Linked DNA regions of Canis lupus familiaris. The protein of the gene in region 1 interacts with the protein of each later gene in a biochemical or structural test. Links are inferred from orthologs where the notes say so. Each region holds a gene or a part of one and is shown in the gene's direction. Other genes may lie near its edges.

Evidence for each region.
Region 2: the proteins of CAV1 (region 1) and PTGS2 form a complex in vitro, tested with the Homo sapiens proteins (2 studies listed by BioGRID). The link is inferred for Canis lupus familiaris from reciprocal best matches to the Homo sapiens genes CAV1 and PTGS2.

What each region holds. Positions count from the first base shown.
Region 1 is NC_049235.1:55,581,052-55,597,629, forward strand, and holds the start of CAV1 (caveolin-1), read left to right. Parts: upstream 1-9,476; coding exon 9,477-9,506; intron 9,507-10,763; coding exon 10,764-10,928; intron 10,929-16,578. UniProt on the Homo sapiens protein: May act as a scaffolding protein within caveolar membranes. Forms a stable heterooligomeric complex with CAV2 that targets to lipid rafts and drives caveolae formation. Mediates the recruitment of CAVIN proteins (CAVIN1/2/3/4) to the caveolae.
Region 2 is NC_049228.1:19,550,146-19,564,667, reverse strand, and holds PTGS2 (prostaglandin G/H synthase 2 precursor), read left to right. Parts: upstream 1-4,889; 5' UTR 4,890-4,908; intron 4,909-5,030; 5' UTR 5,031-5,038; coding exon 5,039-5,090; intron 5,091-5,787; coding exon 5,788-5,904; intron 5,905-6,019; coding exon 6,020-6,163; intron 6,164-6,709; coding exon 6,710-6,853; intron 6,854-7,267; coding exon 7,268-7,449; intron 7,450-8,028; coding exon 8,029-8,112; intron 8,113-8,212; coding exon 8,213-8,459; intron 8,460-8,744; coding exon 8,745-9,031; intron 9,032-9,395; coding exon 9,396-9,543; intron 9,544-9,677; coding exon 9,678-10,087; 3' UTR 10,088-11,714; downstream 11,715-14,522. UniProt on the Homo sapiens protein: Dual cyclooxygenase and peroxidase in the biosynthesis pathway of prostanoids, a class of C20 oxylipins mainly derived from arachidonate ((5Z,8Z,11Z,14Z)-eicosatetraenoate, AA, C20:4(n-6)), with a particular role in the inflammatory response.

The sequences.
Region 1 (16,578 bases):
ATATTTCTCCAGCCTTAAAATCTGCAGTGAGGTCTGCCCAGCATGAAACATTTCATGGTGCAAGATGGGTTTGGGTGACTTTCAAGCAGTCCCTAAGAAACCCCTTTATCTTCTTATAAAGTTAACAGGAGAGTGGTGCTTCAACTCTTCCTACCCACCAATACTACTTGGGTGTGGCTAATGGGGTAGTTTAATATAGCTCAGGACCTTTCATACCAAAAAAAAAAAAAACATCTTGGCTGCTACCCATTTTGTAATTCTTGATTTCACATTCCAAGAAGCCTTCAGTTTATAGAAATGAAAAGAACTGCCAGTTCCCTGCGAGCAACTTGGCCAACTTAGCCTGGAGGGTTCCCCCTTAAATGACGGTTCCTTCCATCTGTTTACAAATATTTCTTTAATAGTATGTTTGTTACTTCCTCCTGTGGAGTTGGGATTCCCTGTTAAGTCATCCAGGCTTCAGTTCCTACTGTTCTTCCCATCGTGTAAAGACTCTTTTGGCAAGTAATTGTGTGTGTGCGCAGGCGCGTTGGGGGGTGGGGGACGGAGGGGGAGTTCTCATTTATAGTTCTTACATTGGAAAGTAATATTTGATGGCATAACTCCTGCCCCTTAAAATGCTTTTAGAGAATGTGCATTTTCAAGGTTCTCCTAGGTCCCAGCTTCTCAAAGTGTAGATGTGCACGCGAATAACCTGGAGATCTTGTTAAAGTCCAGATTTGGGTTCAGTAAATCAGGAACTGGGCCTGAAATTCTGAATTCTAACAAGCTCTCAGGAGATGCTGATGCCGTAGCTCCCTGGACCGCACTTTGAGTAATAAGGCCCTAGTAGAGCTTGAGTAAGACATAGAAAGAAATGACAATGAAGCAGCTGCAGACAGAGAAAAGAAGAAACTGACAGAGATATTTGGCCCTCTGGAAGGATTCTAGGACCTGTTTCACAGCTATAATCCCCCAGACCTACTTTTAAAACTTTCACATTTCCTCTGAAGTAAGCTGAACTGAAGGCAAAACCAGTAGTGCAGAATGAAGCCCATCCTCTAGTGCATAGGAAAGCTAATGTTGCAATCACAGATTTTCTCTGAAATTAGTGAAAAAACAAACTCACTCATCATATGATTGTAAGAAAGTAGAGTTCTCTGTAAAGACCAAACCACTGAATGAATGGTTAATATGAACTTAGATACACCTTTTAAAGAGTGAAATGCTCTAGGATTGAGCATCATCGCCTCAAAGGGAGTAGTTGTGGAGATAAATCTCCCCCAGGTAAAAAGCAGCTCCTGGTAAATAGTTTATTTACTAGGGAAAGGGCCAAAAGGAAAGAGAGTTTCCGTTGTTATATAATGGAGCTCTGACTTAAAGCCAGGCGGGTTGGTTACAAAACAAAGAGCTTTTGTGGAGGGCTCCTCCCAAATATTTACATTAACTTAGGAAAAATATGGAAGTCTGTATCTCCTTATAACTTTTGCTGGTGTTCGGGGGATAATGTCATTTTATTCTTTATCATTTCATTATCATTGAAATGGAATTTTTAAATTATTTGTTAAAATAAAAGATGTGATGCTCTAATACACTGTTTATTTTTATTCTAATATGCTATTAAAACACTCCTAGTAAAAAAATCACTCTACTAGTATATTATAAAATGGTAAATATTGCAGATATGCTACATAACATTATATCATATCGTATTATATTTTGTCCTATTAGGTTTTCTAAGTTATACTTTGTTTTGTTTTGTTTTTTCTAAGTTATACTTTGAATGACTATGGAGTTTCCACACTTCTAAAGGGTGGCCATAATTTTGTTTTGCTTGAATAGGAGGAAATGTAGTCATTATCCGCATATCTAAACATTCTACTTCTCTCAATTAGATGAAATGTAGTAATCTGGTTCATCACTTGATCCCAATTTTTCTAAAAATTGCTATGCCCAATTCTCACATTTAATATTTTCAATGTTGGATTAGATAAAACTGTGATTATTATTTTTATTATTGATATAAATCTATCTAGATGACAAGATGAGCCAAACATTTATTTACCTTTCAGTTCGTGCTTTCTGAATGCATTATCCTTAGGTTATATTACTATTTGGCTCTAAGTTTGGACTAAGATTTTCTCTTTTTAAAGAATGCTAGGCCAGGGGCACCTGGGTGATCCAGTCGGTTAAGCATCCAACTCTTGATTTCATCTCAGGGTCAAGAGATCATCAGATTAAGCCCCCCAAAATCCGTGTGCGATTTTCTCTCCCTCTGCCCCTCCCCTCCCCTATCTCTCTCAAATAAAGAAATCTTTGAAAGAAAGAATGCTAGACCAAATCTTTAAATAAATAAATAATGCTGGATCAGTTATTTTGTTAAGGCTATTATAATCCAGTTATTAAAATAGTCAAAATAGGTAGATAATCTAATTTCATAGCAGATAGTTTGATTTCTTATGTCTTTATAATGAGATGATAAATTGAACCTGGAAATCTTCATGGATCCAAGCACAAATTAAAAAAAGAACTCAATGTGATTTGTATTTGCTTATCATTTAGCATTTTCTCAATATTTAAATTTACTTTTAAGATGACAAACCAGACTGTTTTTGTGATTTTGCTTTTATATATTTTTTTAAGATTTTATTTATTTATTAATGAGAGACACAGAGAGAGAGAGAGAGGCAGAGACACAGGCAGAGGGAGAAGCAGGCTCCATGCAGGGAGCCCGAGGTGGGACTCGATCCCCGGTCTCCAGGATCACACCCTGGGCCGAAGGGGGCACTAAACCGCTGAGCCACCCAGGCTGCCCTGCTTTTAATATTATTTATAAAAAAGTATCTCAAAGAAAATATTTTATAAGTAAAAGAAAATGTAAGGAAATAAGTTTTGAACACCTACTTTTAGAGACAATATTTTGCTACATTCTCAAAGAAAGCCAAAAATTTTATCAGAACAACAATAAAATCCAAAACAATAATTCAAAATAATAATAATGGTGATGCCAATGATAACAAGATGATGGCCTAGTGTTTTGAAAGTAGGATAAATTGTTAACTGTCTGGAAAATCACATTCTGTGTTAAGGCAGGAGAGCGCATCTTATGACCTGTCTAGGTCCCTCTCACTGACGTCCTCTGTCAAGTATCATATGTAAGAATCTTCATACAGGGCAGCCGAGGTGGCTCAGTGGTTTAACGCCTGCCTTCGGCCCAGGGTATGATCCTGGAGACCCGGGATCAAGTCCCACATCGGGCTCCCTGCATGGAGCCTGCTTCTCCCTCTGCCTGTGTCTGTGCCTCTCACTCTCTCCCATGAATAAATAAATAAAATCTTAAAAAAAAAAACAAAAAAAAAACTTCATACAGAAGTTGGCATTTAAGATTAAGAGATTTTTTTATCAATTACTTATTGGGAAGATTTTTTAATAAACTATGTATAGCTTTATGGGAACTAAAAGACAGCAAAAGGGTATATCTCATAAACTAGATTAAAACATGGAAAACTAAACCCAAAAACCAGTTCCTAACGATGAATACACTGAATGTAGATTTGGGATCTTTACGCCTTCCTGTATTCACACCCTGCCCTGGCCTCATTGATGAAATTCACTTCCCAACCCTTGACTTTGGCCTAGGTCACGTGACTTACCTTGCCCTACAGAATGGGGCAGTGTCATTTCCAGGTCTAGGCTTCCAGGAACCTATGGCATATTTTTCCTCTTCCTTTTTTGTATCTGCTACTTCTTGGATCATGAGAAGAATCTTCCCCAATAGCTTGAGGGTCCAAGGAGCACAGAGATATGGAACAGAGCCAGCACAGACTTACAGTGAAAAGCAGAGCTGCCCCAGTGGCCCTAGCCTACATCAACTGAGCCCCAGCCCACCCAACCCATAGGTCTGTGTGAACGAACGGTTGTTCTTGAGCTACTGAGTTTTGTAGTAGTTTATTGATGCCAAATGATTGTAGCACTAATTGATTGATACACCCTAAAATTCAGTTTTAAAATATGTAGTGGATATATGATGACAAAAAAGTGTTGTTTCACATCATCTTTCACTTTTAATTAGCTATTGTGATATCACTCAGACATAGCCAGAAAGCCTCATCCACACTGATTCAGTGTGTACAACTATACCTTTACCAATTTTAGTTAGGACACCAAGAAGAATTGTACTTTTCTACACAGGATTTGCTATCCAAAAGCTTTCCCAAGAATTAATCTTATTTCAATAATATTAAATAACCAGTCAGATTGGTTTGGTCTTGGATAACAAAGCATTTGATAAGAAAATTGGAAAGTAAACTGACATGATAGCTAAAGGCCAGATATATTATTCCACTATCAATATTTTGAGTTAATTAGAAGGATAAAAGCCTTAACACAAGGTTATCAATGAAATATAAATAAATGTAAATAATGGCTATCAATGAAATATTAAATATTTAAAATTTGGATTTAAGGGTTTGTTATAATTCAGAAATACCAGATAGAGCTTATCAGATGTTTCTGGCAAAATCTTGGCAGGATTTGGTTGAAGGAAAAAAAGAAAACTTAATGATGACACTTCTGATACGTTAACTTACGTTCTTTTCTAGTAGCCCCTGGAGCACTCCCTTACCCCACCCACCTCTAAGCCTAGGGAAGGATCCTTACAGCAGAAAAGCAGAGATAAGGCTTTTCTTGATTCCAAAACCCCTGGTGAATGCCTGGGGGAATTCAGGTCACACAAAAATTGTTGGGTGATATGCAAGCATGGCTTCCTGTGCAAGGGGGAGGAAATTGGGAAAATAAGCAAAAAGATTTTTGACATATGTGTGTCTTTAGCCAAGGCTCAGATAAATTAAGAGGATATAATCGCTAAGACAGTTGTGCCTCCTGTTTCTGAGTAGGGCCTGTGGAGATAGCAACCCCTAGAGTTTCTCTGTACCCCGGCAGGGCATTTCTTCTCTGCAGCACCTTCACCATGGGTGGCTCCAGGCTGCTACATCAGGCCTGCCCATTCAAATGTATTAGATGTAAATAGAGGCCCAATTAAAAAAAAAGCAAAAACAAAAAAAACACAGAAGTAGCAAAAAGTGTCTCTGGGCCTAAAGAGCATTTTGAATGAACATGAAGGACAGAGTAGCAACACCCTGAATGGACCAATGATTGAAGATAGACAGGATGATGATGTACCTATCAGCAGATCCAAGATGCACAGCGAAGGAAGAGACTCCTCCCCAGACCCACCCTGAGATTCCGTAGCAATTCAGAAGCCCCTGGGAAGTAGGTGCAATCCCAGCAAAATGGCAGAAAAGTTTCTGCCACCTGAAGGTATGGGGGGCGGGGGGGGGGGGTGAAAGAAATTAAGCTCTGTTACAAAAAAAGAGAGAGTTACATCTCACAAGGGATTTCAGTAGTAACCATGTTTTCTACTTTTAAAAAATCTGAAGCAAATATGGCAAAATGATATTTGATTATACAATTTGCCGTATCTTGGATGGTTAAGCTATGTTACAAGAAAAATACTTTAAAATATATTTATTTTGATTCTGAACCTGTAGGCTGAAATTTGTCCCTACCCCTAGCATCTGTTAAGACTTACGCAGTATCTTCTGTGCTTTAAGTGCATCACCTCATTAAATGTTCATGGCACCGCTAAGATGTCAATATGTGTTCCGTTTTACAAATAAGCGGAGTGAAGTTAATTTAAAAAAAAAAAAAAAAACTGGATGAAAAAAATATTTTCTCATCTTTTCAGGAAGATTTTTGAATGTACAAATAGTTGTTTGTTCTTTTTTAAGAAAATAAATAGAAAAAAATATTTAAAATACTCAAAATGGAAAGGCACAACAAGGAAGAGTCCAGGGGACCACTTCAAGCCAGAAGAGGGATAAAAAGGGATCAGAGGATTAGCCAGATTTTCATCTAGAAAGCTAATTTTTTTCCATATATAAATGGAAGGATGGAAGAAGGTAAAGCAGGTATGGGAAGAAGGCCTGAATGGAATTCAGTAGAAGGCGTGTGAGGTGGTGATGCTGAAAAACAGGATAAATGTTCAGCTGAACACAGAGCTTGTAAAAATGTTGGTATTTATGCATGTAAATAGACACCCTCTGAAATGTTCCCTCTTCCCCTTCTGACTTTCTCCTTAAGGCCCCCAACCTCCCAATGAGCTAGCAACTCACTAGCCAGCGGGACTCCAAGGCTCCAGAGCTGTGACCCACGTTGGGAACGCCAGCTGGGTGCTCTGTCACCCTGGTTGTTATTCTTTCTATATCACACCTAGGGGTAACTGTAATCTCTTTTCTGAACTCACTGACAAAGTCATAGTTGGGCAGTCTTGGGCTTCTCGGTGTTGATAAACATTGGAAAGGTTCCTGCTTCTTAAAACCACCAGTATCACTGTAAGCAGTCAAACCTTGGACTTCTAATCCTAGAGTGGAAATCAGCTGAAGCCAGTTTAGCGTAAGAGGACCTGGGGTGGTGGGGACCTGAGAGGTTGGGGAGCAGGGGCTGCAGAAGATAAGAGAACACAAAAGGCAACTAACTTCACAATTTTACCGTGAGTAGATCTCCCCAGGTTACTTAAGAATCCTATGTCCCAGAAACTACTAACAGGAACTCTAGTTATTTATCAACTTTAAAATGCTCCTTACTCCCGCAAAACTCTTCAAGAACAAATCATTTTTATGTATTTATTTATTTTTTCTTTTTTATGTATTTAGACTTCAATCTCCGCATCTCTAAGACAACTGATTTGGATGAATGGTGTCCCTTTTAGCTCTATATTTTTAGTAACCTATAAAGCATGAGCTGCCCTTTAAGGTTGCTTCTTTAAAAAAAAATAAAGGGGGGGCAAATAAGTCGCCATGTGGTCATTTTTTAGTAAATGATTTGGAGAAATTTATTAACTTGCCTCCAAGCCTAAAGTTATCTTTAGGGGTATCGAAGAAAAACTATTTTATTCATTATATCATCTATCCATTTCAGATCTTATACCTACGCTAACAACATTATTCATCTTTATTTCTCATGAAGGTGGAGCCAATTCTTCAATTCAGCTATTATAACCAGAATACAATCTGTTTCTTTTTGGGTCTAACTTCTTGTTGAGGCAGGTTAACGAAGAGTTTGTGGTTTTTCCTCTCATTAGGAATTCATTTTGGCATTGACAACGCTTCACTGATCATTATGATTCCGGGCGCTGCTGTTGATTTGGCTTCGCCATGGACCTGCCTGGGTTGAGCTCGTTAAGCATTCACTCACAGGCCTCCCCGGAAAGTCCATTCCTTGCTGGAATGCAGGACACACTCTCTCCCTGTTCCTGTTGACTTTTTTCACAGTCAAGATTACTCATCGCAGCTGAAGACTGAACAACAATAGATGGGAAACGGTTTCCACATTTTTCCATTGGCCATAACCACAACTGCTTTGTAACCAACGCTCATGAAGGAAGAGCTAGATGAACAGCAGTCCTCCAGCAACCGTCAGAGGTAAGCGGGGCACCGCACAACCCGGTGACCCTGACACCACTCTTTGCTAGCATGTCATGCTTCTTCACACACAATATGTTCAAAGAATCTACAAGTGGATTTTGGCAGAAATAAAAATTTTAAAGCCCAATTGTTAGAAGATCTTTAGAGTTCTAATCATGACTAGCCAGCATAATTAACGCCAACGTTTGTAACATTTCCCCTGCCATATAATTGAAACTGATCTTTAAAAAAAAAAATTGAAAAAAATTAAAAAATTAAAAATTGGCGCAGCCCGGGTGGCTCAGTGGTTTAGCGCAGCCTTCAGTCCAGGGTCTGGTCCTGGAACCTCTGGATCGAGTCCCACATCGGGCTCCCTGCATGGAGCCTGCTTCTCCCTCTGCCTGTGTCTCTGCCTCTCTCTCTCTCTCTCTCTCTCTATGTCTATCATAAATAAATAAATTTTAAAAAAAAGAATTTAAAGGTTGTATTGCTTTTTACCACCAACAATAGCCTGTCCTTTATAGTTCTTTTACAGTTCCATATATTCTAACTAGATAATCAATTCCAAGGGTCCCATCCTCTATTACCCGTTCTCCTCCTCCTTTTGTGCCTCCGCCTTTATGGACAGACCACCAAAATGTTTCCTGTAACCTGTGCCCCTTCAGATAGATTGTCAGATTTTCTATTTCAAGTCCTGATTTTACTTTTTTTAAATTTTTAAAATCATTTTTCTAATTTTACTTTTTTAATTATTACTTTTTATTTTTTTAAAAAAAGATTTTACTTATTTATTAATGAGAGACACAGAGAGAGAGAAAAGCAGAGGCACAGGCAGAGGGAGAAGCAGGCTCCATGCAGGGAGCCTGATGCAGGGCTTGATCCTGGGTCTCCAGGGTCAGGCCCTGGGCTGAAGGCGGCGCTAAACCGCTGAGCCACCCGGGCCGCCCCTCTAGTTCTCCTTCTGATTGCATATGGAGCCACAGGCCAAAAGACAGTGAACTTCTTGACTTCTCCATAGCCCAGATGTAAAACTACTGCTTATTGTTCCATTCACCTTAGGCGTACGCTTTATAAAAAGATAGCAGCCGCACATTCAGGAATAGAGAAAACATTTGCAAATAACTGCTAACGATTTGTTAAACTTCAGATCGGTTCCTAGAAGAACCGGGTCTCCTCTAACGCACGGGCAAGTGCATTAGAAAAAAAAAAAAAATAGAAAAAAAAATTAGAAAAAGTGCAAAGAAAAAGTCCTCTATGACAAACTTGAAGCTCCCACTAAATATTCCTACAACTGTAAATATTTTTACGTCTTTTGGAAATGTGGCACAACGTGTGGGCATAAGTTTCCAGAAAGTTCCAGAAAGATGGGCGAAGCCTGCCATTCTCGTTTGCTTCAGAGGGTTGGGGGGCAGGGCAGGGGGGGCTTTCAGAAGCGGCGGGGAAACTGGAGTTCCGCGTGTCTGTGTGTCCTGTCCGGGGCCGCCAGGTGTGAGCCGGCGCGTCGCCACCTGCACCGCGCGCGCACGTGTGCTTGCTCGCCGTCGGGGGCGCATCGTGCCCAAAAGTCCTGCGCCCTTTTTCGTCCCTTTCCTCCCGGTGACAGTGGGGGAGAGCTGGGCGGGCGGGGATGGGGGCGGGGAGGCGGCTTCTCCGCGGGCAGATGCGCGGGGAGGAGCGCGGGGAGGAGCGCGACGCCCCGCGCCAACCCCGCGCCCCCGCAGGACGCCGCCGCGAGCCCCCCGGGGACGTGCGCCCCAGGTCTAGGCCACCCCCGCGGGGCGCTCCCCGCGCGCTCCCCGCCCCGCGCCGCCGAACCCCGGGGATGTGCCCGGACCCGGCGCGCAGGTCCCGGCCGGGCGCTCGCGGCAAGCCCCGGGCCCGCGGCCAGCAGGCTCCCTCCCAGCCGCCGCCCCCCGCCTGCGCCTCCCCGCCCCCCCCCCCCCCCCCCCTGCACAATACAAGATCTTCCTTCCTCGGTTCCCTTGAATAACAGCCCAGGGAAACCTCGGAGCCTTCACCCAGCCACCGGCCAGCATGTCTGGGGGCAAATACGTAGACTCCGAGGTAGGCTCGCGGGGTGCGCGCGGGGAGCCCCCGGGGCGCCCCCACCCCCACCCCACCCCCACCCCACCCCCCGCGGTCGGCCGCCGGGCGCTCCCCCGGCGCGGGCACCTCCGAGGAATGGGCCTGGGCGGGGAGCTGAAGAGGGGGCAGGAATGTCGTCCAGGCTGCTCTTCGGAAAGGGGGGCCGGCGGGCCCTAAACCAGAGGGAGGCTGAAAGTGGGGGCGGGGGGCGCCCCGGGGTCCCGAGATGGGGACCAGAGCACGCTCCTGGGTCGTGGGCGGGCCCGGGGCGCTGCTTTAGGTCGGGACCCGCACGGCCCAGCCCCTGCGCGCTGGGGGGCTGCGATCGGGGACGCGGGGTGCGCCGCCATCCCCCCGCGATCCGGGGGACCGTCCCCGCCGCTCCGCCAGGCGCCTGGACCGGCTGGCACCGCCCGAAGCCCTCGGGCCGCCTCAAGAACCCTTCCAGCATCGCGGCGCCCGGCGGGGTGTTTGCAGAGGGGGGACCTGCCCTCCCCTCCCCTCCCCTCCTGTCCCTGCCCGCCCTCCCCTCCCAGTGCCACCCCTCGTCCGCGCGGGGATCTCGCTCCCCAAACTCGCCCTCCGCCCCGCGCCCCGCCGGCGGCCTAGGAGGGACCTGCGGGAGGTCGGGGAGGTCGGGGGCGCCGGGCAGGTGCGAGGTCGCGGTTCGGGGCGGTCTGCAGGGGGGCGGGGGGCGCTGCTCCCGACACGGGCGCTTTCGGGACGCTGAGCCCCGCGGGGGCGGGGGGCGCGGAGAGTGCGGCGAGCCAGCAGGTGTCGGGGAGGTGCGGCAGAAAGGGGCAGAAAGGGGGCCCCTCCGGGGGGTCCCGGGGGCTCCAGCGGGCCCGAGGGAGACGCCGGAGAGCTTCTGGAGAGCAGGGTGGGGGAGGGGCGCCCCGCAGCCGGGGACGGGTCCCCGCGGTCGCTGGGGGGCGCGCGGGGCGGGCGCGGGCGGGGGCGGCGCGGGTGCGCGCTGACCCCTGGCGGCGGGCGGCGGAGGCCGGGGCTCCCCGCGGGCACCGAGGGGTGTGGTGTCCTCGCCTCCATCCTCTTAAGCGCCGGCGGCGCCCGAGCGGCCAGTTGGCGGGCGACCTCCAGGGCCGCCGCACCGCTCGTTTTCCTTTTTGACATTTCCTTTTTGACATTTCCTTTTTCTGGCATTGCCTTTTTTGACATTTTCTTCCCATCTCCGCCCCCCCCTCCCGCACCCCGCCGTCCCCCCCCCACCCCGCGCAGGGGCACCTCTACACCGTTCCCATCCGGGAGCAGGGCAACATCTACAAGCCCAACAACAAGGCCATGGCGGAGGAGATGAGCGAGAAGCAGGTGTACGACGCGCACACCAAGGAAATCGACCTGGTCAACCGCGACCCCAAGCATCTCAACGACGACGTGGTCAAGGTAGGGGAGGCGGCCCCGCCCGCCCCGGGGCGCTCCGAGCATCCTCCGCTACCTGGGCCCGCGCGCGCTGCCTCCTGCGCTTGAGGACGCGGGGCCCCGCAGTCCCCCCACCTTGCCCTCCCCCATCACCCCGCCGGCTAGTTCGGCTGGAATCTCGCTGACTGCCCTCCTCCTAGAACCCCACTTCTCCCCGGCCAACACACCTCCAGATCTCCGCGACAGGTTGGCCCGCGCTCCTTGGGCGAGTGAGGCGCTTGGCCCTGCGGGGCACCCTCTTGCCTGTTCCCAGGCTTAAACTCTAGCGAAGGGGGGCGCCCTATTGCACCTAGAATTAAAGCAAGTAAGGTCACTGTGTAAGTTCTTTGTGGCTCGATGATCTATGGGATACCGAGTGGGCAGGTTGTCCCAGCTCAAATCAGGGTAACCTCAAGTTATTTTCTTAACTATAATAAGGTGGGTAAAAATGCTTCAGATTGATATATTATATATCACATATATGGAGAGAGAGCATCTTAACTGGAGGGGGAAAAAGTGGTACTCGTGCACGACCAAGCTAATTTCCACAACCAAAAATAATGAGCGCCTCTGGATTTCTCCCATAGACACCCCTAGCTAGGTATATAAAGTCACTTCTTTAGTGACTGCCTGGGTCAGGCTTCCCCGAGTTAATGAGACACTCAGGCTGGAGTTCCTTTTTATATTTTCAGAATGTGTTTGGTGATTTTTTTAAAAAAAAATAATAAGGCATCTGAATGAGCTATTGGCCAAACTTAGATTTGAGTCAGTGATCAATTTTTGATTATCATTATATTATTCAACTTTGACCCTCTTAGCAAATTAAGTCAGGGAAATTTATTGTCCGAATCCATCTGGATTGGGAAATCATGGGCTTGAGCCATTCTTGGCAGAGGGTTTTCTTTGAGGAGTGGGGAGGGCCAAGGAAAATCCTGGCCTGGAAGATTATAGCGTGAAGACCCAGTTCTGCACAACTCCAGAACAGCCAATGGGGCAGATGAGCAATTTCCACCTACCCAGTCTCCTATCTGGGGCTGGGAAGAGCCATAGTTCAGAGACTATGCACATTTATGAATAATTTATTTCAAAAAGGGAAACAATTTAACCTGTAACGGGAAGGAAAATGTAACTGTCAGAATTGACTCTCTTGGCTTGCTGGTAGAGGAAAAAGGAAAATTGGAGCATTAGTAGGTTTTTCTACTAGCCAGATTATGAAATATTTAAAAGCAGCAGCAATAAAAAAAAAAAGTAGCTTATAAACTTGAAATTAGAATTGCTAAAAACGATTTACTAAAAGCGTCACCTTAAAGAGAGGGAAAGACATTTTTGCTTTTTCTCCTTCTCATGTAGCTTTGGACAAGAAGAAGAGATGCCAGGAAAAGAGGCAGATTTCAGAAAGGGCTGGCTTCATTGGAGCCTCCCTGTTGTTCCACCGCAGTGTGAGTGGGGTTCCTGGAGCAAGCAAGCCTCCCAGGATGAGTCAGAGAGGCCAGCAGTGTGGATGTGGGTCTCCACACATAGCATGACTAAGCTGAGAAAGAAAGGCCCCACTGGGAAAAGAGACTTCAACGCAGATGGAAAAAAGGCATAACAGGCTTAGAGGAAATAGCAGTTAACAGAATAGCATTTCAAAGAGCAAGTGTGGGGATCCTCATATTAAAAAAAAAAAAAATTAAAAGGAAGAGTTGCAGCAAGCTCCTGCTGGCCTAGAGAAAGCAAACCCCTCCCATTTGCGCCTATGAGCAAAACAAGACACTCAGACAGAAAAATCCACCTTGGGAAGAATTTGGTAGGCCCATTTACTCAGAGGCCTAGTTGAGAAAGGACTTCGGAGGACTTCCTGCAGAGAGAGGCCCAGGCTACAAGTCCAATTTCTGTCCAAAGAGTGACATCTGCAGTAGCCCAGGAGGGGTAGCCTATAACCTGCAGAGACTCCTGTTTTAGAAGTGCTTTTCAAAAAAAAAAAAAAAAGTGCTTTCTATGAGTCCCAGCACAAACATGATGACAGAAACAAGTATGACCCTCTCCATGTTACACGGCAGTAAATAAACTTTCCTAAATTTTACTTTTGACAACATAGACTTCTTAAAATAACAAAAACATCCAAAGTTTTACTGTTAATGCATGGTAGCTTAAAATGTCAGGTAATAATAAAGAAACAGTGATCAGGGTACCAAATCAGGTATGGAAAGTTCTGTTTAAAGGCAAGCAGCTCTGTAAGAGCTGCCTTTGCCAATTCTATAATCACTAGCCAGTTGTGGCTCTTTCCGTTTAAATTTCAAGTAGTTAACATTATTATAATTAAAATTCAGTTCTTTAGGCACACTAGCCACATCCTGAGTTCTCAACACGAGGTTACTGGCTCCCAAATTGGACAGCACAGGCTTATAACATTTCCATCATCCTGGAAATTGCTTTTGGACAGCGCCAGACTAGTTCTTTACATTTTAAAAAGGCTCTTATACCAAGTTTAGAAAAAGAACTCTAGATGGAGAAGAAATGAAACCCTGATGTACAGTGTGAGGCGCAGCATGGTGTATCTGCACAGTATCCTTTCAGTCTCATAAAACAGCTACTCAGGGAGAGAAAGAAAAGTCAGCAGATTAGTCTATACAATTTAATTCCAAGAAGTTCGGTCTCCTACCTTACCTAAAGGTCTGCTGTACTATATTACATCTCTATAGACATTTATACCAAAATAGTAGGCTATGAATGCTTTTTAAAATTTCCTCTGATTAAAGCGATGACAACTTCAGACCCTTCATTCTCCCTCTGAAATTTCTATGTCTTCTTTTCATGTTCACATTTTCATTTGTATGTTTACTATGTACTTAACTGGAATTTCCATATAAATAAAACATCAGATTTATGATTCTGACATCATATTAGCCACCAATAAATTAATTTGTTAAACTCACCCTATGCTAGACTATACACTGCACGACATACTAGAAAGCATAATTCCTAAAATAAGTTGTAGCAATCACAAGGGTTAGAGTTAGAGAGACAAGACGCATATGGATAAAAAGTTTTAAAGAATACACTATAACACAATACTAAGTCACTGCCAAATGGTAACTAATGGATCCTTTTCTGCTTTGACTACTAGGAAACATAGTTAGATTTTAAGTTTCATTAATATGCATCACTACCCTCTCCCACTCTTGGTTTTGTATTTTCACTTTCTTTTTTAATTGACATGCTATTTTATGTGGTCTCTACTGTGAACCTTCTCATTATCATTTTGGTAATAAATCAAAAGCAAGCAGTATTTAGGGGGAGTGGGGGGGAAATAAAAAAAGGAAAAAAGTAAGCAGTATTGAATATTGAATAATAAAAAGGTTTTTAAAAAGTGAATGATACTATGTTGATCTTGGTAATCAAACAATGTAGGTGTATATCAGATCATCACATTGTACACTTCGGGGTTTTTTGGTTTTGTTTTCGTTTTAAGATTTTATTTATTCATGAGAGACACACAGAGAGAGGCAGAGACACAGGCAGAGGGACAAGCAGGCTCCCTGCAGGGATTGATAGAGGAGTCGATCCCAGGACCCCGGGGCCACGACCTGAGCTGAAGGCAGACACTCATCCACTGAGCCACCCAGGCATCCAACATTGTACACCTTGAATACATACAATTATATTTGTCAATTATTCTTCAATAAAGTTTGTTTTTTTTTAAGTGAATGGTATTGGTAGTGTTAGGGAGATCCTACTGTGGATAGGACAATGGGGTCGGGGAAGGAAGATGGATTCTAGATAGTTTAATAGAGAAGGGCATGAAGGAGTACAGTCTGAGTTGGATCATGAAGGGCAAACAGCTGAGAAAAGCACAGGAGGGCTTCAAAATAAGCAAGGCATGGAGATGGGAATGTCTCATACCGGGCATGATGGAAGGTTTCGTAGCCCATTTTGATTGAAAGCAGAGAATTCACGTGGCAGAGTGGTAGGTCATAAAGGTGAACGGACTGATCATGGCCACTTGGCAGAGGCCTTTATCCAGCACTCATGAGAAGTTTGGACTTTATCATCTCAACAGTGAGAAGGCAAGACTTCAGGCTTGAGTATGACAAGATGAGGGTGGGCTTTCTCAAAGATGACTGGCTAAGCTACAGGATGTGATGAAAGGTAGCCAGTCTGGTTGAGCAGAGAACAGTGAAGACGTAATTGCACTGTGGTCTAGACATGAAAAAGAAGGACAGTGTGCAGTGGCACTGGAGACAAAATCAGAGAAGCATAAAATGACAGGATTTTAGAATTGGAAGAGAACATAATGGCTCCCAGCCCAACTTCCAATCCCTTGAAAGAAATTTAAGGGCCATAGAAGTTTAAAATTTTTATCCATGTTTTCAGACGGTCACTGTGCAAAACAGATATTTTGAAATGTATGATAAAGGGAAGAATGGACAAGATTATGTGATTCATGTAGACTATTGCTATGAGGGGAGAAATGAATTGAGATGATTCTGAGATTAGTCCTGAGAAGAATCAGAACATCTGAGAGAAGACTTCTGTTTGAAAATAAAAATATACATTTGTAACTTTCCATCATAAAACTTGAATATAATCATTCTTAAATATGCTCAAACACAAAATTTTCTTTGGCAGCCAAAAAAAAAGTCATACACATGGTAATCAGATCGGTTCTGATTTCAAAATGACATCCCAACGTCTTCTTGATCTTTTTCAACTGGAAGGCATCCTAAAGTGATTGATTGATCTCAATATAATGGCAATTACAAATTCCATATTTATTTGATATACATATAATCAAAGCCTAAGATTTAAAAGATCAGATTGTCTCAAAGCCCTCAACACCCTGTTATTACTCTCTTCCGTTGGAATTGGTATTGGTTTCGTTTGTCTGTTTGTTTAGGAGACAGCTCCACACGATGGTGAGTGGTGACGGATATTTTGCCACAAATGAGATCATGCACAGATTTCAGAATCCCCTGCTTGTAAAGGAGCAGGATGGTCATTTTTGGCGGGAAATTTTCTCACATCACTGAGCAAAAAACAATACTAAAATGAGGGATATTATTTATTCTTACGCATCCGCAAACACTTTCAACAATGATATACATTTTAAGTGATTCTTAAAACAAAGTCTCTTCTTTCTTCTCCATCTCCTGTCACCAAAAAATAATTTGAACTATGAAAAATACCTTTGAATTATGAAAAAGCTCACGATGTGGCTTATTCTTCCAATTAATAGCAGTGTTGGCTCCATTTTAAAAGGGCTTACAGTGAGAACAGCTGCAATAGTAAGCAGCATCTGGAAAGTCCAGTAATTTGAAAAACCACCTGCTTATGGTCCTGCCCACTCAAGTCCATAAAATAACAGACTTTTTCATATTCTGAATGAAACTGCTTTTCAGTTTGCCCTACTTTTCAACATAAGTTCTCTATGAGGAAATACCCACAGAGAATTCGCCCCTATAAGAATGGGGCTGTGTGCACTGACCTGTGGGGTTCTGGGCCCTTTCATGATCCTTCTGGCTTGGTTTGTGTGGGGAATGGGAAAGACTGCTGTTTTCATACAAAGATTTTTTTTAAGATTTTATTTATTCATGAGAAATACAGAGAGAGAGAGAGAGAAGCAGAGACACAGGCAGAGGGAAAGCAGGCTCCA
Region 2 (14,522 bases), on another chromosome or scaffold:
TTAGTGTTCTCCGAGTTTTCTGGATCGGTGGCTTGGTATCTGACATGAATTTCAGGAAAATTTCAATCAATATTGCTTCAAATATTGCTTCTGTTTCTTTCTTTCTTCTCCTTCTTATATTCCCATTATGCATATATTAAAGTTTTTGCAGCTGTCTCACAGCTCTTGGATATTCTGGCGGGGTCGGGGGGGAGGTCCAGTATTTTTTTTCTTTGCTTTTCAATTTTGAAAACTTTTATAACATATCCCAAAGCTCAGAGATTCTTTGCTCAGCCATGTCCAGTCTACTAATAAGCCCATCAAAGATATCCTTCATTTCTGTTGCAGTATTTTTGATCTCTAGCATTTCTTTTTGATTCTTTCTTAGAATTTCGTTCTCTCTGCTTATATTTTCTGTTTCTGCATATTATCTCCTTTTTTTTTTTTTTTTTTTTTAACAAGCCACCTTAGCGTGTTCATTATAGTTGTTCAAAGTAAGAGTTTGTTACTTCCAATATCTCTATTATATCTGTGTCTGGTCAGATGCTTGTCCTGTCACTTAAAACTGTATTTTTTGCCTTTCATTATGCCTCGTAATTTTTTGTTGAGAGCTGGACATGGTGTATGGGTTGAAAGGAACTCTCGTATAGGACCCTGGCAATGTGGTGGTGAGGTATGAGGTGAGGAGAAGGTTCTATAATCCTGTGATTAGGACTCAGTCTTTTAGTGAGCCTAAGCCCTTGAACTGAGAATGTCACACTGCTTTTCAGTCCCCCAGTCCCATGTCTTATAGATGGGGCTAAGGGCTCCAAGCTGGAGTTGAGTAAGTAGGCAGGATGGAAGGCTAGAGGGGATGGAGGTGGGTATTTCCTTTCCCCTAGGTTAGTTTCATTCTGATACAATCCCAAAAGTTGAGGCTCTGGTTCTGGTGAAATAGTTTCTCTTGAATGCAGGCCTTATTGAAAAGAACAGAATGCTCTGGCATATTTCAAGATGGTTACTTTTCCCCTTTCCCTATCAATCTCTCAAGGGTCCTCAAGGGTTTTTTTTCCTTCTGATATTTGCTGTGTGAGAACCTGGTAGAGCTTCAGGAGGTGAAACTCATAAAAGCATGGGCTCCTTTCCCTGAGGTTTTTAACTCTCAGACTTCTCCACATTGAGCATCCAGACTTTGTCAATTATACCTTGAATTTTCCAGTCCCAGTACTGGTTTCAATGGAGGTTTCTGCATCTGAGTTTCTGCTCTGCTAAGCTGTGCTTCTCCGTATGGCCTATCTCTCAAATTTGGGGGGCAGGGGAAGCATTTTATCCTATCACCTCACTGCCCTAAGAGATCTAAGAAGAGTACTGAGCTTTCAGTTTGTTCAGATTTTTACTTGTTATTAGGATAAAGTGGTAAGTTTCAAGCTCCTTATGTACTGGTGAAGAGATTGGAAGTCCCAATCCTGATATTTAATAGGTGAGTGTGTTCTCACTATGCCCACTGTTCGACCTGCTTACACACCCCTGCACTTCCTTATTCCCTTTTGAGATTCCCAACTCTAACACAAGGACTGGTTCAGTCTACCTTGGCTCATCTGAGTAGTTATGACATGCAACCGTGAAAAATGAAGAAAAAGAAAAGTCAGGGGTGAGGGTTAATTGACAGAAAGAAAGAAGACCAGCTTTTCATAAAACTCAGAAATGGTTATTATCTGGTATTTCTTCATGGGTTTATGTGACAATATTTTTTTAATTAAAAAAATATTCTTTATGGCCTTAAAACTTCTATTTTATATAGCCAAGAATGGCCTTTTGTAAGTAGCATTTCTGTCCTTTACGGAACAGATAGACTCTGTGGCATACCTTTGCTAAAGAAGCTCATAAGAATAACCCTAAAGCAGGATGGCAAAATTTCTCTTCAAGCCAGCATGCCATGAATGAAAAGATGTGGGGCAACTTCCACTCCCTCTGAATGAATCACTAAATCAACCAAAGTGGAAGGGAGGGTCATGGAAAGAGCCTCCATGCCGGAGATAGTAGATCAGAGCATTCTTGCATGTCTGAGTGGTAAAACCCTGTTCAACAATAAAAATATGTGTCTCAAAAACGTTAGTTCATTTAGGGGGCACTTGGGTTAACAGTCTGCCTTCAGCTCAGGTCATCATTCTGGAGTCCTGGGATCCAGCCCCACTCAGCTGGCTCCCTGCTCAGCAGGGAATCTGCTTCTCCCTTACCCTCTGTCCACCCACTCCCCTGCTTTCTTCCTTTCTCTTTCTCTCAAATGAATAAAAAAATATCGTTTTAAAAAATGTTACCCATTCAGAATTTGGGGTATTAAGACTTTTTTTTAATTTTCTTTTAACTCATATAATGGCTTATTCAATTAATAAATATTTAATTCCTTTTCCGTATACTCAGGAGTTAAATCTAAAATAAGTACTGCACATGTAGACTTTTGTGACTATTATGACATCAGACACAGAAATCTACCTACCAATCTCCACAGCATCACAAAGAAAAAGAAGTTGATAGAAATTCAAGCAGCAGAAGGGGGCAGTAAAACTCAACAGAATACTCTGGCAGATTTTTAATATGCTTTCTTATTTTTTCTTCATAGAGAGAATTTCCCAATACATTTTGGAGACTAACTTAAAAAAAGTCTGATATATATATATATATATATACATATATATATATATATACATATATATATATATTATACACAGAACACTAAATATACACAAAAGTGAGAGCTATGATTTTACATAATCAAAACCTTATTTTTTATTGTGTGATATATCATAGTACTTTTCCACATAAAACAGGTTTAGCTGTTTGGATTTGGTTTGGGACATTTCATTATCCCCTCATGACCAGGAATCCCAAATGTACTATCCACTCTATGTCATGGTCTCAGACTTGTCAAAATTACTTAATAAATGATATCCTAATGGTTTTTCCTCAAGCCCATACTTGGACTTCTTTCTAAACTGTGTCCATCCTTCAAGTGTCATTTTCTCTTTGAACTCTCTTCTGACTGTAGAGGTACATGGAAATCTCTCCATTCTATCATGCCACTGAAGTTACAGGTTAAACCAAGCAGTTGAACCACATAGATTTTTTTCATTGAACTTCCACTGTGAGCGAGAGTTCAATTTCTTTACATTCCAAGTAGTCTAAATGTGATTATTCTCTAGACTGTTTTGTCCTCATCTTTGAATTCAGTCTCCACATTAGGATCTAATAAGGAGGATATCGATGATGAGGACTTCAACACGAATTCAGGATTGCAATGTAAAACTTTAGTACACTACCAGAGTCAGAGTATGGACTCCTACATGACACCTAAAAATTAAGCTCAAATGAGTGGCCCTAAATATCACTTTAAAATTTGAATACATACAACCTACTCATTTAATAGAAAATGGAATTATTAAAAAATTATGCTCTTAGTTTTAATTTCACGTAGGATTTAATACAATAAATGGGAGTGTCACAAATCGAATGATTAAATATGACTAGAGGAGGAAAAAGGCTTCATGGATGAGATGGAATTTTAGTCATTTGTGTCTCATGTAAAAATCAGATATTGTGTACCTTAAGCAAAATGGTAAGAAAAAAAAAATTCCAAGTGAGTCTCTTTTTCAAGACTCCTACAGACTGAAGTATCCGGTGTCGTTTTACTTTAGGTTCTATGCTGTTATTTCTATTAGTGCTAAGAATGTATGGCTTAACAGAACTTGTTATTCTCCACTTTGCTGCTGGTCACTAACTTTCCTCTCTCTCTCTCTCTCTCTCATTTCGCCCTTACATCACCAACCAAAAGATATTAAATAAAAGCAAAGGACGATGAAATTTTAAATTGTCAAAATCATCCGTCTTTTCCACCCATTCTACTCACTTCCTCATCAAAGTATGTTCCAAAATGAGAATAGAAAATTTGCACTCTTAAGCCCAATTGAAAAAAGTAAATGCAATGTTGTATTTTGATCCACCGTCACAGTCCTCCTCGTCTCTGAAAAGTGGGCAGAAAGACAAAAAAAGCAAACTTAAAAAAAAAAAAAAAACTAGTTTCTTCTCCGTGTATCTCCTGTGAAGGGCTGGTGGCCAAAGTGGTGAAAGAAATGCACGAAAGCAGATGTGCTGAGCTTTTAGCATCCCGGCAGATCCCTCATCACAAGAGGGGAAACACGGTAGCTCAAGCTCGGACCGACTGTTGGCAGGATCGCCGCTTAGGAGCAGTCCTGGGGCGAGGAACCAACAGCTTACAGATGTGCACACTGACTCCAGCTATTCTATTTCATTCAGCCAAAATTTTTAGAAAATCGTAATGTATGGATGTATGTGCTACACGTACACTAGGTGACGGGTCGCCACGAACATCATGACATGTTTGACATACATGACGTAACCCGTGTCAGCCTTTCCTGGCCCCGTCTGTCCAGACTGTGACTCCTCGGGCCCGCAAAGACCTGGGCATGAGACGCGGGGGTGGCCGCGCGGGGAGATTCCCTGCGTCCTGGGACCTCCGGCCGCTCGGATTCCGGGAGAGGAGGCCCCGGATTCTCCCTCCCGGCAGGGGGACCCGCCGCGGCGCCCGCGCGCTCTCCGAAGCTCCCGGTCAAAGACTGCGGAGAAAGGGAATCCGGCGCCAATCGCCCTCCGGAACCGAGGGGGGCAATTCGCTTTGCACCCCCTTGGGGAAGTCCGAGGCAGCTTCTCGGGTTTCCGATTTTCTCATTTGCGTGGAGTCAAAAAAAAAAAAAAAAATCCTTACGCAATTATTAAGTAGACAGGGGGAGGGGAGAGTGATGGGGGGGAGGGGGGTGGAAAGAAACAGTCATGCGTCACGTGGGCTTAGTTATCATGCATAAAAGGAAGGTTCCGTCCGTTAGCGACTAGTTGTCAAACAACTTGCAGCGAGCGTCTGGAGCACGCTCGGGAACTCCGCACAGCGCCTGCCTCCTCCAGCGCCGCAGCCCCGAGCCCAGGACGGGAACGCCTCCGCCGCCGCCTCCGCCTCCGCCGCCGCCTCTGCCACCGCCCGCGCTCCGCCCGCGCCCCGCCCGCCGCCGCGATGCTGGCCCGCGCCCTGGTGCTCTGCGCCGCCCTGGCGGTCGTCCGCGCAGGTGGGTACCTGGCTCCCCGCCGCGGGGACTCCTCGGCTGGGTGATCGCCGCGGAGCTTCCGCTCGGACCGCCGGGACCCGCTCGGGGCTTTGATGATGTTTGACCTGGTAAAGGGCTTGGACCGTTTGGGGCCCCAAGGACTGGGTGTCTCTCCGAGCTTTGCCACCTGCTCTGCTCAGCCTGAGCCAGTCACTTAGCGGGTGTGGGTCTCCCTTGTCATCCGCTAATACGTAGGACTGAGTAGGGATACTAATTTGCCGATGGTCATTATGATAAGGCTCGGGATCAATCAATATAGGAGATGTTCTGCTCTTGGGGAGTGGGAGGAACTGGTTTACGTACCCTAGTTGGTGCTTTCCTGACCCAGGAAAGCCCAGGTTACTTTTTGAAGATAAGCAAAACATTTTAACAATAAGCTGTTTTTACGCTGAAATTTCTCCCACATTTTGATTAATTGTACTAGATACCTCCACTTGACTTTTGAGGGTGCTACTTCTGTGAGGTCCTTAAAAATGCTAATTTGAACATCTCCAAAGTTACTAAAGACAGCTTGGCAACATCGCTTCCCTGGTTGAACGTTGTTGGCCTTATTGAATTTAGATTTCTTGAATTTATTTATGTAAAGTTGATCCATACAATTCAATGTTAAATGAAGATTAAAGAATGAATCATTTACTGTCCTTACTTTTTTTTGTAGCAAATCCTTGCTGTTCCCACCCATGTCAAAACCAAGGTATTTGTATGAGCACAGGATTTGACCAGTATAAGTGTGACTGTACCCGAACAGGATTCTACGGCGAAAACTGCTCAACACGTAAGTGTGCCCTTGGGGGTGCCCTCATTTGGACTGGGGATATGTCCAGTTACCAATTTGCATACTAGTGTCTCATAATGGGTCCTATTAATCTTTCCCTCTTCTGTTTTTGCAGCGGAATTTCTGACAAGAATAAAATTATACCTGAAACCCACTCCAAATACAGTACACTACATACTTACCCACTTCAAGGGAGTCTGGAACATTGTCAATAACATCCCCTTCCTGCGAAATACAATTATGAAATATGTGTTGACATGTAAGTACAAGTCTCTTTCTAAGGTTTTCAATTTCCTCAAAGAAAAATGTTCTTTATAAGACTTTAGATTATTAAACCTTTTAAGATTTTATTTATTTGAGAGAATGAACCTGAGTGGGGGGAGGGGTGGAGGGAGAAGCAGACTCCCTGCCGAGCAGGGAGCCAGACAAGGGACTCAATCCAAGGACCCTGGGATCATGACCTGAGCCAAGGGCAGAGCTACCCAGCCGCCCCTTTGCCCTCTATCTTAATGGCCCAAAATATTGACATTTCGGTCCCATTCAGTTTGTAAAGTTCTGTCTCAAATTCAGAATTCTACTTACAATCCTGTATACCTCTTCTAAATTCACTGCTCTTACCAATCTGAAAGAAGCGTGGTCCAGTTGTTAATTGAATATCCATGGACCACTGGTTTACAATAGGTTATCTTTGATGGAATTAAATTCGGTCTTTAGTGCCACTTTGCACTTTGTACAATAAAAGTGAACATTGATATGTCTTGCGTATAGGAACAAATAAAACAATATTTTTTTTCTTAAATTTCAGCCCGGTCACATTTGATTGAGAGTCCACCAACTTATAATGTGAACTACGGCTATAAAAGCTGGGAAGCCTTTTCTAACCTCTCCTATTATACCAGAGCTCTTCCCCCTGTACCTGATGACTGTCCAACACCCATGGGTGTGAAAGGTGAGTACGGGGAGGCAGTTAGACATGTATTCATTGCAATAGGGATTGGGTTGCTACCTAGAAAATTCAGCCCTGAACTATCATTTATTTGTTAATAAAAGCATATTTTTTGCTTGAGGATATCTGTGAATCTCTAAACTATTAAACTATCCTATGAAAGTGGACATTTTGGTATAATATCTTCACATTTTCAAATTCTTTCACTAAAACCAAATTAATACTAGTTAAAGTAAAACTATTCAATGTTTCCCTATATCTTAGAACTTCCATTTGTATTATAATCCTATTTACACAGATGAATACAGTTCACACCTTTATTTCTCCTGTAAGTGAAGAAAGCCCCAGACTAAATTGACATTCACTGCTTGCTTGAACTTGTAAATGAATTCTTATCTTAGCTTTCTCATTCTTCAGGCAAGAAAGAGCTTCCTGATTCAAAAGAGATTGTGGAAAAGTTTCTTCTGCGAAGAAAGTTCATTCCTGATCCCCAAGGCACCAATATGATGTTTGCATTCTTTGCCCAGCACTTTACCCATCAATTTTTCAAGACAGATCATAAGCGAGGACCAGCTTTCACCAAAGGATTGGGCCATGGGGTAAGAAATTCAAATTATAGCAAAAGTCATACTGAGTACTGATATGAAGGAGATATATATACACACCAAATCACTCCCTTGTTAAAAAATTCCATCTATAAAAACCTTAGTGGAATTTCCATTTTAATTCACTTGTTTAGTAAAAATACTCAAGCACACACACGCATATATACAGACATTATTATTTGTAATTTGAATCTTACATTTTTACTTTAAAATATTAGCACTGCAAAAAGTTGCATCTTCGAAAAAGCTATTTGTACTCTGGTTATGCTGCTTTAAATATTGAGATTTTTGCAGCATTATTACACAGTTCCAACTTACCAGTAAGAATTTTATATCAATAATATATTTTCTGATGCTTATTAAAGGAAATACCATATAGTGAAGCATATTATATACTTATAACTCTACACAAGACATAGGTTTGTAGTGTCAGAGGACAAACTAATTTACTATTTAGTGGTTGTGAGAGAAACGTGTTTTATCAAATTATTTATTATTTAATGATGAATTACATTATAGAAACTTTATAGAACTTCAACAGCAACAAATTAAAATTTTTCCATAATCTTCCAGGTGGACTTAAATCATGTTTATGGGGAAACTTTGGATAGACAACATAAACTGCGCCTTTTCAAGGATGGAAAAATGAAATATCAGGTTTGTTCCATTGGAATATTAAGAATTGACTCACAACTAACCCATATTTAAAAACTTCCCCTGATTAAAATTTAATGTTTGTACTACTGTTGTTTCTTAGGTAATTGATGGAGAGGTGTATCCTCCTACCGTCAAAGATACTCAGGTCGAGATGATCTACCCACCTCATGTTCCTGAACACCTGCAGTTTGCTGTGGGCCAGGAGGTCTTTGGTCTGGTGCCTGGTCTGATGATGTATGCCACCATTTGGCTGCGGGAGCATAACAGAGTGTGTGATGTGCTTAAACAGGAGCACCCAGAATGGGATGATGAGCGGTTATTCCAGACGAGCAGGCTAATACTGATAGGTAAGCAAGAAGAGAAAATAATTTCAATAAAACCCTCTCCCCCAGAGAAAGCTGGCATGTTACTTTTTATCCGTTTTAAGTAATTCTGGGAGAATGTAGTGAATGGAAAATCACATGCTCCATATTTCAGTCTTTGAGCGTGATTGAGGGTATTAATACTTTTCTGTTTTGTTGGTAAACCAGGACAAAATAGAAGTGAAAGAATAGCAGATTAACAAGATTGCATTTCAGTTGCTTGATCAGAGAATTAATGCTCTAATTTTTTTGTTGTTGTTGTGTAAATAGGAGAAACCATTAAGATTGTGATTGAAGACTATGTACAACACTTGAGTGGCTATCACTTCAAGCTGAAGTTTGACCCAGAGCTGCTTTTCAACCAACAATTCCAGTACCAAAACCGCATTGCTGCTGAGTTTAACACACTCTACCACTGGCATCCCCTCCTGCCTGACACCTTGCAAATAGATGACCAGGAGTACAATTTCCAACAGTTTATCTACAACAACTCTATATTATTGGAACATGGCCTTACCCAGTTTGTGGAATCATTCAGCAGGCAAATTGCTGGCAGGGTAAGCCTTGTTATTGAAAAAACAAAGGACTAATCAGAATTTCTGCCACCAAAGTGATCTTTCTGAACTCTTACTGAAAGTTTAATATTTTGCTAGCCAATTCTTTTAAAAAGCCCAATTTTTGGAAGTCTAAACTTGTAGTCTCCAGCTATCAAATAGCGATATGTAGTCATAGCTTAATATTTTTGAAAACTATTCTATAATTAGAATCTGCAGATTATAGAAATATTTCTAACTTATTTTGGGTCTCAGCTGGGAGCATTAGTCTTCCCTCCTTTGTACCCAAGGAATGAATGCTTTTAAAGTAGAGATCATCATAAAGATGCCTAAGACCTTATTCTACAATTTAATTCATTTCCCATAGGTTGCCGGTGGCAGGAATGTTCCAGCTGCAGTACAACAAGTAGCAAAAGCTTCGATTGACCAGAGCAGACAGATGAAATACCAGTCTCTTAATGAGTATCGCAAACGCTTTAGGCTGAAGCCCTATACATCATTCGAAGAACTTACAGGTGAGAGAAACTTCTTAAGAATCAAGGGTCAAATGGAAACAAGTTGAAAGGGAATTGAGCAAAGGGTTAAAACTTTTTTTTTTGGTAAAGTTTTTTATACATTAGTTGAATATCTGTTTTTGTCACCTTCACAGGAGAGAAGGAAATGGCTGCGGGGTTGGAGGCCCTTTATGGTGATATTGATGCCATGGAGCTGTATCCTGCCCTCTTGGTAGAAAAGCCTCGTCCAGATGCCATCTTTGGTGAGACCATGGTAGAAATGGGAGCACCATTCTCCTTGAAAGGACTTATGGGTAATCCCATCTGTTCACCTGACTACTGGAAGCCTAGCACCTTTGGTGGAGAAGTAGGCTTTAAAATCATCAACACTGCCTCAATCCAGTCTCTCATCTGCAATAACGTGAAGGGCTGTCCATTCACTGCATTCTCTGTTCAAGACGGACAACTCACCAAAACAGTCACCATTAATGCAAGCTCTTCGCACTCCGGTCTAGATGACATCAATCCCACAGTCCTACTGAAAGAACGGTCAACTGAACTATAGAAGCCTGTTAATCCTATTTATTTATTTATATGGACGATTCCTTTTAACTTAATTATTTAATATTTATGTTAAACTCCTTATGTTACTTAACATCTGTTAAGGAGAAAGGGGTCATACTTGTGAAGATTTTCATGTCACTATTTTAAAGATGTCTTCGGGTTAAAGAGGAAAAGTTTTCTGTTTTATAAATGAGTTTGACATCCTTTTACTTGAATTTCAGTTTATATTATTATTATGAACAAAAGCGAAGATGTTGGATATTTAAATGCTGTTCCAGGATGACAAAATGCTGCAAGTTTTTTTCGACACTATCGGGATTTCTAGTGTATCTTCCCTGGTGCATTAGAAGCAACTACCTGCACACTTTCTTTTCTTCTGTTAGCCACTGTGCTGGTAGAAACTCTCTTCTGATCAGTTTACTTTCTTGTTTCCTTGATTTTTAAGATCTGAGTATACCTTTCTTTGGACTCTGTCTATACTTTCTTACCTGAACTTGTGTAAGTTTTCAGGAAAACCTCAACTCAGGACTACTAGTAATTTAGCTCCTCTTAAGAGGAATGAAAGGAAAAAAAAAAAACAGCCCTTAAAGGACTCTATACACAACAGTATACACTTATTTTAAGTGAAAGGCAGCGATCTTTTTGTAAATTTTAAATTGTAACAGAAGGCTTCAATGAGGCTAATGACTGACAAAGAACTGTAGGGGGTTCTTGATGGAAGGAAGTCGTATTTCTATTAAGAATATCCTTTCTCATTTAAAAGCAAAGTCAAATTCTGAATAGTTCCCGGGAAGATAATGTTTCTTTTCCACATCTCATTGTCAGCTGACATTTGCTGGTACTGTATACTTAATTTATTGAGGATTATTATTTGTTTTGTTAGGATGTTATTATAAACTAGGTTTAAGCTGCAATCATTTTTTTTTTTTTTGCATTATGTGAGAATCAGTATATCTTCTTTGAGATTAACTCTGAATTATTATGTAAACACTAAGAGAAATTATTTGAGATCTGTGAGTAAATTTTCAGGAACCCAACTCTGGTATATTGAAATATGGCAAGTTGGAATTGAAATATAGATTTCCCTATATACCAGCCCACAGAGAACACTGTGTCTCATTAACCTGCATGTACCATAAGATCTTTACAGTTTTGAGGGACCTATGGATCCTTCATTAAGTCATTCAGCTATAACTTATTGAGGACACAGGTGCAAATATCACTGTGGGTTTTAATATTTTTTGTGGATTCTAATATTTTTAAATCATGCACTGATTACAGATAACATCAGTATTTGTAAATGAGAAAGCATGTCTTTAGGTAGAGAAAGAAAATGAAATTTTATTAAAGGAAATAACTCAGGGGAATTTTTAAGATTTTATGTTTAAAAAGTTAAGAAATAGTCAATATTAGAAGGGCTTATGTAAAAACTTCACTGAAAGAAATTTTGTTATTAATATCAATGCCGACTGAATTCGGAGTATAATATATGAATGTTTTGGTGCCTCAGACAAATGTGTATTTAAATTAACTTATGTAAGATGTAAGTGTTAACAAATGCCTGTTTATTTTTATACTATCTAAGAATGAAAAATCTCTTCTAAAATAAATTTTTGACTGTTTCCATATATCTTTGTCATGATGTATGATTTCTCTGAAGCATCTATTCCAAACCAGACTAGCTGTTAATGAAATGATTCTGCCCTCCATCAGAGGTATCCTAGGATCAGTTATCCCTTGTTCACTATAACACTGTATTGGAAAATGTGTGCTTTGTGCTATCAGATAGCAACAATTGTGTTTTGATTGCCTAATCTAGAAGGAAAAAAAACAAGTACAAAGTACACAGAAGGCAAAGAATAAGACAATGTCTTATTTTGAAGGTACAAAATAAAGGTACAAAATTAAGGTACAAAATTAAGAAGTTCAAAGAGATGTTCTATTCAGTTGATACCTGGCTCATGGACTTCTGTTTTCCCAATCATGGTAATTTGATAATATCAATATCCACATGGACCACCTATTTAACATCCTACCCGGCTTTTCTCTTCCTTGACCTTCTTCATTCCTGTGATGGCTTCTTCCACCTTATTTTCTATGACTATACATATCTTGATCTTATCATCAGTTGCTATACCATTACCAAAATCTTGATTTCAAGCATCTTCCTTGACTCCCCTTCTAACTCACCTATCTTAGTACTCACACTTTAACATGTTACTCCCTCTCTAGTTCCACTGAGCCTACTGATCCATTGGCCTCATCACTATTCATTACCCTCATTTATCTCATTTCCTTACAATCACTCGTCTACTTTCTCTCCATTGCACTTAACAGGCTTGATTTCATTTCTGCCATCCTTATCTGCTTATTTGACTTCTTAGTAGCATTCAGCACAAATGTCTGTAGTTTCTTTCAGTAAAGATTTTTTTCCCCTTGGCTTCTTGGTTTGATACTTTCCTGGTCTTCACCTTCAGACTTAAAAAATCTCATCCTCCACTGTATCTATAAATTGTAGTATCTTAATTCCCTGCTTTTTATCCGCCCTCTTCCAGGTTAATCTCATCTAAGAACTTGAAACATTAATTATCACTCCCAAACATTTCTCCAGAACAATCTCAAACTGTCAATTGACAACTTATCCACTCAAATCCATACATTTAATGTCCTATTTTACAATCTCTGCCCTCTTTGTACCAATCCAAAATAATCATCCAAAGGACACCACCATGCTGTTCTCAAGCAAAAAACCCCACTTTCCTTCACACCCATAGTCAATCCCACAGCAATCTTGTTGATTATAACTACAAACAAATTCTACACCTCTCACCTTTTCTCTAACTCCAATACTACTAACCTAGTTGATACAGTTCTCTCTCAACTGGCCTTCCTTCTATTCTTGCCTCATTCCAAACCATTCTCCTTATAATGATGAGAGTGATCATTTTCAAACATACATCAGATATGCTCCTCTCCTGGTTGAAATCTTCCAATGACTTCCTATTACACAATGGATAAACCTAAACTCCTCATCCTATCTTAAAGTGTCTCAGTAATCAGACAGACCCCTGCCTATCTGATCTCATCTACCATAATGTCCTACCTTTGTTTTCTGTGCTCCAACCACATCTGCTTTCTTCTGATTTGTTCACCATCAGGGGTTCTCAAGCTGCTGCCTCTGTTTAGAATGCTCCTTCTTCTGATTTCCACATGGCTAGAACCTTCTCAATGTCCAAATCTTGGCTCAGATGTCTGCTTCTCAGAAAGGCCTTCTCCAATCACCAAACTAACTACTCTTTAAGCTCTTTCATCTTCTTTTTGGTGTTTGTTTCTGTTATTATCTTGATTTGTATGTTTATTATCTGTGTCCCCTCAGTAGAATTTCATGTCTATGAAAGCAAGGACCTTGTTTGCATTATTTACTGCTCTCAGAACAGTGTCTGGTACTTAAAGGGCATTACAAAATATTCAGTAGGTGAACAAGAATAAACTTCATGAAAAAAGTAAAATATATGGTGATTCTTAAAGAAAGAGTAAGCTCTTAGAAGACAGAGATATCCACTCTGGAAAAAATATTTGGACAGTTTTTCTAAAACTAAAAATTCCCTTATCATGTATATTAGTTTTCTATTGATGTTATGACAAATCACTACAAATTTACTGGCTTCATACAACACAAATTTATTATCTACAGTCCTAGAGGTCAGAAATAAGACAGATCCAATGTGTTAAAATCAAGGTGTCAGTAGTGTTGTGTTTCTTCTGGAAGCTCTAGAGAGAATCTGTCTCTCACCTTTTCTGGCTTCAAGAGGCTAACTGCATTACTTGGTTCATGGTCCCTTTCTTTATCTTCAAAGCAGCAGGATAGCACCTTCTAATATCTCTGACTCTGATCCTCTTGCCTCCCTCTCATCAGGACCTTTTTTTATTACTTTGGGCCAATAAAAATAATCTGGGAAAATCTCCCTTCCTCAAGATTCATAATTTTTTTCACATACACAAAGTCCCCTGGGCCCTGCATGTAAGGCAACTTATTCACAGGTTCTAGAGATTAGAGTCTAGAAATCTTTGGAGGACCATTATTTTACCTACCACATTATACAAGCCAGCAATTGTACTCTCAGGCATTTATCCCAGAAGAATAACTATGTTCACATAAAAATTTGTGTATGAAAGTTCATAACAACTTTATTCATAATTGCCCCAAACTGGAAATAATTCAATATCCTTCAAAAGGTTAACTGTTAAACAGACTGTGGCAAACTGTGGTAGAGCCACACCATGCAGTACTATGTAGTGAAACAAACACAACTAATGATACATGCAATAACTTGAATGGAACTCAAAGGAGTTATGCTGAGTGAAAAAAAAAAAAAAGCCAGTCTCACAAGGTTATCTATTATCATATATATAATATATCTATTATATATATGATC